2 linked regions of the Oryzias latipes genome follow. The protein of the gene in region 1 binds, or shares a complex with, the protein of each later gene. Links are inferred from orthologs where the notes say so. Each region holds a gene or a part of one and is shown in the gene's direction. Other genes may lie near its edges. The genes, in order: tert and dkc1.

Evidence for each region.
Region 2: tert (region 1) and dkc1 share a complex: the UniProt entries of both Homo sapiens proteins name them as parts of the telomerase holoenzyme complex. The link is inferred for Oryzias latipes from reciprocal best matches to the Homo sapiens genes TERT and DKC1.

The regions. Positions count from the first base shown.
Region 1 is NC_019869.2:25,698,292-25,702,109, reverse strand, and holds part of tert (telomerase reverse transcriptase), read left to right. Parts: coding exon 1-92; intron 93-277; coding exon 278-379; intron 380-466; coding exon 467-552; intron 553-754; coding exon 755-868; intron 869-950; coding exon 951-1,022; intron 1,023-1,999; coding exon 2,000-2,188; intron 2,189-2,279; coding exon 2,280-2,406; intron 2,407-3,098; coding exon 3,099-3,160; intron 3,161-3,818. UniProt on the Homo sapiens protein: Telomerase is a ribonucleoprotein enzyme essential for the replication of chromosome termini in most eukaryotes. Active in progenitor and cancer cells. Inactive, or very low activity, in normal somatic cells.
Region 2 is NC_019880.2:47,574-52,093, reverse strand, and holds the start of dkc1 (H/ACA ribonucleoprotein complex subunit 4), read left to right. Parts: upstream 1-1,484; 5' UTR 1,485-1,560; coding exon 1,561-1,576; intron 1,577-2,304; coding exon 2,305-2,357; intron 2,358-2,424; coding exon 2,425-2,511; intron 2,512-3,026; coding exon 3,027-3,118; intron 3,119-3,188; coding exon 3,189-3,373; intron 3,374-4,034; coding exon 4,035-4,099; intron 4,100-4,511; coding exon 4,512-4,520.

The DNA.
Region 1 (3,818 bases):
CACCCGTCCAAGAGGAAGTCTTCACCGTCCGCCACTACGCTAAGATCTGGGCTGATTCCCACGAAGGCCTGAAGAAAGCCTTCGCCAGACAGGTGCAGATCCAGAGGAAACTTGGAGAAATGACTTTGAAGTGGAGCGTAAACAGAAAAATCCTGTTTGTTTCCAGATGTTTGCTTCCTGTTTTGATGCTCAGCATTTGCAGTACAGAACATTGTTTTTGGGGTTTAAACTCGTGTGATTGTGGCAAACACAGATTGATGGGATGTTTCCGACTCAGGTGGATTTCTCTGACGGTAGCATGGGATCCACCAGCATGAAGGGCTTTGTGATGTCCCTGCAGAAGAGCAGCAAAGTGCATCACGCCGTCCTGGTGGAGCAGGTACCGTGACCGTCTGCATGTTGTTCCTTTCATGCAGGCGTTACAACATTTCACTGTTTTACTTCTCACGGCTTCTCCTTCAAACAGGCTTTCGGCTCAAATCTTCGAGGCAAAGACGCCTTGCAGTTCTTCACGCAGATGCTCACAGGAAGTGTCGTTCAGCATGGAAAGAAGTACGTTCTTCATCTCCTACATGGATGCAGTAGCTCTGGCGAGCAGGTCGTCCACCAACTGAAGGGTTGGCGGATCGATCCCCGCTCTCCCCAGCCAGCTGTCGGCCCCCGAGCACGGGGATGAGTCAAAATGTGGAGAAGAATTTCCCCATCGAGGGATAAATAAAGTATCAATTATTATTATTATTATTTGTTTGTCCAGGACGTACCGTCAGTGCCGAGGGATTCCTCAGGGCTCGGTGGTGTCCTCTCTGCTGTGCTGTCTGTGCTATGGCCACATGGAGAACGTCCTCTTCAGAGACATCAAAAACAAAGGGTGGCTCTGTTTCTGTGGACACGTCGTTACACATCACCAACACAAGGGGGCAGTCTTCTGACGCTTTTCCTCTGTCCTGCAGGTGTCTGATGAGGCTGGTGGATGACTTCCTCCTCATCACCCCAGACCGCAACCAAGCACAGTCCTTCCTCAGGTACAACACACACACATCTGAACAAACACACACAGACACGCACATGCGTTAACACTCATATAAACACACACAGACACACCCATGCATGAACACACACATCTGAAAAAACAGACACACACATGCATTAAAACTCACACAAACACACGCAGACACACATGCAGAGAGACACACATACATACATAATCCTACACACGCGCGCGTGCATGTGTGTGTGTATAAATGTATATATGTATTTTGAGACTAAATACTGTTTAATAAACATAGTATGAACTATCAGTACATAACATTGTTTATGTACTGATAATTAAAAAACTACACAGTGAGATTACACAAAGATACTTTTGTATTAACATTTGAGGCGTTTTATTACAAAAACAGAAAGCAGCGACAATCGTATGTCATGCTCTGTTGTAAGCCATGCAATGGGGGGAGCGTGGCTTTTAGGCCTGCTGATCCGTGAGGAGCGCGTGCCACGGAAGAGGGGGGGGGGGACGGAGCAGGCAGCAAATTTAAACACGCATGTGCAGTGAAGTATGCATCAGAGGTTGTTCGAATGGCAGTTCTGCATGTCAATCAAGTCCTGTACTTCTCTGTAAGGATTTTGATTGGCTGGTGGATTTTTTAGAAGTACATTTTTATTTTTTTGGTTATTTATCTTTGCTGGCCTTTGATCTACCCTCATGTCCTTGAAGATCTACTGGTCGATCGACGTAATGAGCACCCCTGACTTAAACACACGCGCACACACACGTGCACACACACGCGCACACACACGCGCACACACACGTGCACACACACGCGCACACACACGTGCACACACACGTGCAGACATGTTACTGTCTTCTTCCTCTCTTCCTGGTTTCTCTGTAAACAGACTGCAGAGGAAGTCGTTGTGCATAAACTAAATCAATCATTTAGTTCACACACGAAACTCTTTGGTTTCTCTTCACTGTGACCCCACCCTTTCTCGTGTGAAGTATCTTGCTGGCTGGAGTTCCTCAATACGGCGTGGTGGCCAACCCGCAAAAGGTGGTGGTCAACTTTCAGGGGTCAGAGGGCGGCGGCGCTTTCCCCGACATCCGCGTGCTGCCTCCTCACTGCCTCTTCCCGTGGTGCGGCCTTCTGCTGGACACCCGCTCGCTGGATGTGTGCAAAGACTATTCCAGGTAAAAGCCTCCACCCTGAACCAGGGGACTGCAGCGAACACGGGAACATCACAACCTTCAGCCTAACTCCCATCACTGAAACCTCTCCCAGCTATGCAGGCCTCTCTCTGCGCTACAGCCTCACGCTAGGCTCCGCCCACTCCGCAGGACAGCAGATGAGGAGGAAGCTGATGTCCATTCTCAGAATCAAATGTCACCCTCTGTTTTTGGACTTGAAGGTTAGTAGATAAAAGATGCTTTGGTTCTAACGAATGACTAGAATGAAACAAAGAAAGAGTTTGATACTTTATAGCTCAGATGTGTTGGTCTGCATCCAAAAACTTGTGTTGAGTTTGGTTTAAATATTTAAATACACATGTTCCTCTCTTTTGTACTGCAAAGTTGAGGGAAATCTAAACTTTAAACCTTAAATCATAATTTCCTAAACTCCAGCTTTGTATTGTAAACAGACGAGTGTGAATCTAACAGTATCATCATATGACGTCAGGAAACCGCCTGATTTCCAGAGGCCTGAAGGTCACGTTCTTCTGTTTCAGCCAATAAAGTATTACCGATGTTTCTAAAAGCAATGGAAACGTTTGTAAAAATCCGACTGAAGCCATTAGGAGAACTTTCTCCATAAAAACATGAAAGGAGGAAAAAAACGGTTGAAAATCCTCCATCAGATGACGAAAAGAAGATGTTCTGGAGTTCTTTCTGAGAAACTGGTGGATCCTAACTGAACATCGTTCCTGTTCAGATCTTCTAGAGACAATGAGGTCAAACATCTTAGTGATAGAAAAGGCCCAAATCCCACCGCCGTTCATCTGCTTCTCCTGCCCTGCAGCAGATGTTGGAGACACGCCGAGTCTCCGTCCTCTTCTCTTCACTGACCAGGTTCTTTTGATCAATCCCTAAACTCTCTTCTCAGACTAATTCCCTCGAGTCTGCTTACAAGAACATCCACAAGCTGGTGCTGCTGCAGGCGTGCAGGTAAGACGACGAGCTGCGGCGCCATTTGTCTGATGACCTGAAGTTTTAGGTTCGATTCTGTGAAGACGCACAGGAGGGAAGGGCTCCAGAAAATAAATAAATAAAGAAAAAAACATCAACGTCTTCATTCCTATTCTGGATTCTATTTAGTCCCAAATTCTTCACTCAACTGCTCATTAAAATAAAGATGACACTTTTATTGTCTAACCCTCTAATGTTTCATATTAAGTTCTATCATTAAAGACTCACTCTGATGCTCTGATGAGGGTGCTGTTGGTGTTTTTAACATGTTCTTGGAGCATTTTTCTGATCAGAGGACAAACACTATAGTACCAAAAGTATCCGCTCACCTGCCTTGATTACATATGAACTGAGTCTGCATGACTGAGGGCTTAATGTAAGACACCTGTGACCAGAAGAAGTGATGAGGACACCTGATCATTTGGATGGATGAGCCAATACTTTTGGTAAAATAGTGTATATAGAGTAGATTAAGCTCAAAATTGCACTTGTCAGTATTTCTTTATTCAAATCATTGTGAATAAGGAGCAGATGAAAAATGCCTTTGAAACAGCTTCTAGTTGTAACAAAATAAGTTCTAGTAATCTACAATCGGTGGTCCAAAGTCTTCCTTCTCCATTCTGATCGTCCACCATCA
Region 2 (4,520 bases), on another chromosome or scaffold:
TGTTTTACTTTTGAACCTATACAGTGTCCTTGGGTGTTTTGAAAGGCCCTTTTAAATGTAATGTATTATTATTATTATTAAATGGAGCTTGGAAACTTCATTCTGGTCTCAGCAGTGTAGGAAAGAAATCTTTGCTTTTCAGTTCTTTCCATCCATGCATGTTCAGTAGTCGAGACGAGAGTGGTAAAGCAAACAAGGATTCAACCGGATTAAAAATACACGAAGTTTATTTCCCTGACAATAGTTCTAGAGCACAGATTAAACATTAATGCAGATATATCTGGATTCTCAAGTAAAGACCTACTGACGCACAAGTTACATGCGAATTACATGCGAATCGTAGATTTTCCTAAGAACAGTAAAGTCCGTCCAAAACAGTCTTTTAAACATGTGTTTGACACTCCTCCTTCTGAAAACATCATGACCACTGGATCTCCGCCCCGGAACACTCTGATTCGTCAGCCGGTATCCCTTGTGCTTCCACCGGCCAATAGCTGAAGGTTGCCAACTCCAGATCCGCTCGCCTTTCAAAGGGGCGACAGTGGCTCAGGTGGTTGAGCGGGTCGTCCAATGATCGAAGGGTTGGCGGTTCAATCCCCGCTCCCACCAGCCAAAATGTCGTTGTGTCCTTGGGCAAGACACTTCACCCTCCTTGCCTCCAGTGTGGCTCCACTGGTGTGTGGATGTGTATGAATGATCCCGGTGATGGTCAGAGGGGCCGTAGGCGCGAAATGGCAGCCACACCTCTGTCAGTCTGTGGCTGTGGCTACAACCGTAGCTACCATCACTAAGTATGAATGAGGAGTGAATGAATAATGGACACAATGTAAACGCTTTGGGTGTCTTGAAAAGCGCAGATAAATCTAATCCATTATTATTATTATTATTATTTCACCGGCGCACACAATCCAACGATCAAGAGTCCTCATCTGGTCCAAATAAATCCTACCAGCCAAACGGATACTCCATCACCGGCACGTGATCAGAGGTCAGCTTCATCCTCCACATGAGAACAGGAATCTGAACACTTTCCCTAGGATAAGATGTTCAACCCAGATAGTAGAAATGTAGTCCATGACATATTTATTCCATCTCTGGAAACTCCTAGATTTGCACAAAGAAGTCCTAGTTGCTGCTGCAACTACAAAGCACAAGTGAAGGTCACTGGAGAATAAGTCCTGATGAGTTCACTTCACACTAAAGATAAAGCTGTAACATAATGAAGAATAAGATATTAAAACATACATTTTCTACAGCAGTTTCCTTCAGAAACAGATCTTCATAAATGACATTCATTAAGTGTCTCTTTGGGTTGGAAGTTCGGGAAATAACCTTCTTATTTTATAAGTCTTATTCCTTTTCTGAGAGTTTGTCAGTGCCCGAGACTCTGGATGAATAAAGAGCCTAAACCCTGGTTAACTAGTTTTTCGGTAATCCCAATACATGAGAGGAAATCCAAAAGCTCTCTAGCCCCGCCCCGGATGTGGCTCGATCGTCTTCCGGTGCTCGTAGACCAAAGAATAAGAAGGCGGACGCTCGCACGCAGTCACTTGGAAGAAGATGGCGGAGGTTGAAGGTAAGGGCGACCCACGTGGTTCTGAAGTTTTGCCAGAATCAGAACCGCTACCCTTAATGCAAAATCAACACGCCCGCACGGCGTTACTGACGCAGTTCCCATCGCACGCGCGGCGCGTTCTGCAGAGCAGGCCGCGCACCAAAGCAGGCCGAACCGCGCCACGTGCGTCCTGCTCCGGGCGGCCTACACGATAAACCGGGTCAGATTCGGTTCGCTTTTGGAGGTCTGCTACTTCAGGGGTTGAGCGCTTCTTTGGATTCCCGCCCCGCGTGGTCCTTCCAGTCCACGTGACGTGCAGGAAACGCCACGTGCGTTGGGAATAAGTCGTTAGTTTTTAACAAACACCTGTTTGATTCAAATGTGCGCGCGCCACAATCAAAATGGGAAACACAATTAGGTTCTGACTAGTTTATTATATGACAGTTTTTGGGTCGAACGGATCAGAGCCGAACTGCAGTAAAACGTGGCTCCGTTTCATGTCTGCACCGGTTCTAACCGGTTTACGATCAGTGCAAACGTTTCCACCTGCGGGGTCTCCAAAACGGTCAAAGATTTTGTTGATGATTCGAGACAAAAATCTACGAATTCAAGATTTTTAAGGATCCATTGAGATGACTTTAGCAGTAAAGCAGCCCCAAAGCATGATGCTTCCACCCCCATGCTTCACAGTAGGTAAATGGTGTTCTTAGGACGCCACTCCACTAATCTGCTGTTCCGTGTTTCTGCAGTAGCATCTGTTAAAAAGAAGAAAGGGAAGAAAGTCTGCGATGAAGAAGTTGGGGTGAGTGATGTTGTCTGGAGTAAAGGTAATCTCATGGATCTGCTGGAGCTGACTGTTTGTTTTCCAGGAGATCCAGAGGAGTGCTGACTTTTTCATCCAGCCAGAGTCCAAGGCAACATCTTTAAACACATCACAATGGCCCCTCCTTCTCAAGGTCAGCTCCACCTCGACCCCTGCCTGGGTCATGTGACATGTTGGCAATGTTGGTGTGACATGATGAAGCAGTTTATCCATTCTCTGAGCACTGCAGTCTTGGCGTTTCTTTGCCCGTCTCCATCTTTGGGGCCTGGTCTCTGCTGGTCACCAACTGTGACCTGGCGTTCTGCCAGGTTATAGGAGGTGACCGTGTAGAGGTGGAAGCGACCAGACTGTTGTCAAGATGATGCTCTGCTCTGATCACACGCCGCCTTGAAACAGGAAATGTGTGAGCAAACAAAAAAATGGCTATGTGGTCCAGGCTTCACTATCCGGCAGTGATTCAGATGGCTACTTTTTGGAGAGTATGTTACGAAAAAGTAGTACCAGCATGGGGTCAAAGGGCATGAGAATATTTGGGCAACCTGGTACTGGGGTTGGTTTCTCCCTTAGACAAAAAGCTAATTCAGGATTTAACGCCAGGTGTTCGCTTCGGTTGGTACATCGACCTCAAACTGTTTCCTGTTTTGGCAGAACTTCGATAAGCTGAATGTGCGGACGGGCCACTACACTCCCCTGCCCAACGGCAGCAACCCCCTGAAGAGGAACATTGCAGATTACGTCAGGTACATTCACGTTGCGTAGGGTCAATGCTATGACGCAGATTGCATAATGACACTGCCTCCTCTACTTAAGGTCTGGCTTCATCAATTTGGACAAGCCAGCCAACCCATCATCCCATGAGGTGGTTGCGTGGATTCGTAGGATTCTGCGAGTGGAGAAAACTGGACACAGTGGGACGCTGGATCCCAAGGTCACTGGCTGCCTGATTGTGTGTATAGACCGTGCCACACGATTGGTCAAATCGCAGCAGAGTGCAGGTACGGGTCCTGAGGGTGTCTGGCTGGGTTTTGGGCTTCAGGTCTGATTGGCAGATTACAATCACTAAGACCTGAGAGGGGATGGGTCTGATCCAGAACTAGAGCTGAGGATCCAAAGGCTTTTCTACTCTTCATTCTCTTCAATGTCCCCCTCCACTTCATCCGTACTGATCTAAACCAGACCCCCACAAATCTGTTTCTATTTAGTTTTTGCTTTATCTAAAACTGTGAATTTTAGTCCAGACAATGAAGATGGAAAAGGACACTCTAGCTTTAATAAATGAAAAGACAAAAAACGGATACTGATGATCCGAAATCAAACCTTTTGCTGATGCTTTAGTAACGCATATGGAAGCACGGGGGTCATTTCAGCAGCAGGCCATCTCTGACCGCCCTGGTCCACGTCAGGACGTTTGCTGAATATTTTTGTGCGCGCACACCTGGCTGCTGCAGTCAGCTGGCCTGACGTCTGTCTTTGCAGACACCATGTGACCATGGGTCCGCTACAGAGTCAAAGTACAAGGATCTGCTTCTGTCACCGGGCGATCCTCAGTCTGCCAGCACTGTGTGATTGGCCCACTTCACCTAAGCACTGGTTCCTTTAGCTGCGAGCCATTTGGGAGCCGTTGATTGGTTGAAGCCTGACTGTTCTGTGTTGCAGGTAAAGAGTATGTGGGGATCGTCCGGTTGCACAATGCAGTGGAGAACCAGCACGCTCTGGCCCGGGTAAGTCTGACCTGATGATCCAGTAAGAGCTTGCCTTAAGCACACACGGCTGAGGCTTGAGGTTCTGGAAGGTCTTGCATTTAAACCCTCCAGAGTAAAATCCTATTTCAATTCTTTTTTTTTTTATTGCAAACAAAAAGAGAATTGTTACATACATGAAATACAATGAAACAAAGAAGTGGTTTCATTTTGTGCACGGAGCCTCTTTGTATTGAAAACTGAAGGTTGCAGACATGAATGTGGGTCATTTAATCAGGAACAACATATTCTTGTGTAATCAGAACATTTCAGGTCATTGTTTTCTTTCTGAAATATGGAACTGAGACAATAATATGGTGATAATGGCGTGTAAGCAAATGATAATGACGTAAACCCTAACATTACTCCCTTTTTATCATTTGATGTATTTTAGGCACTGGAA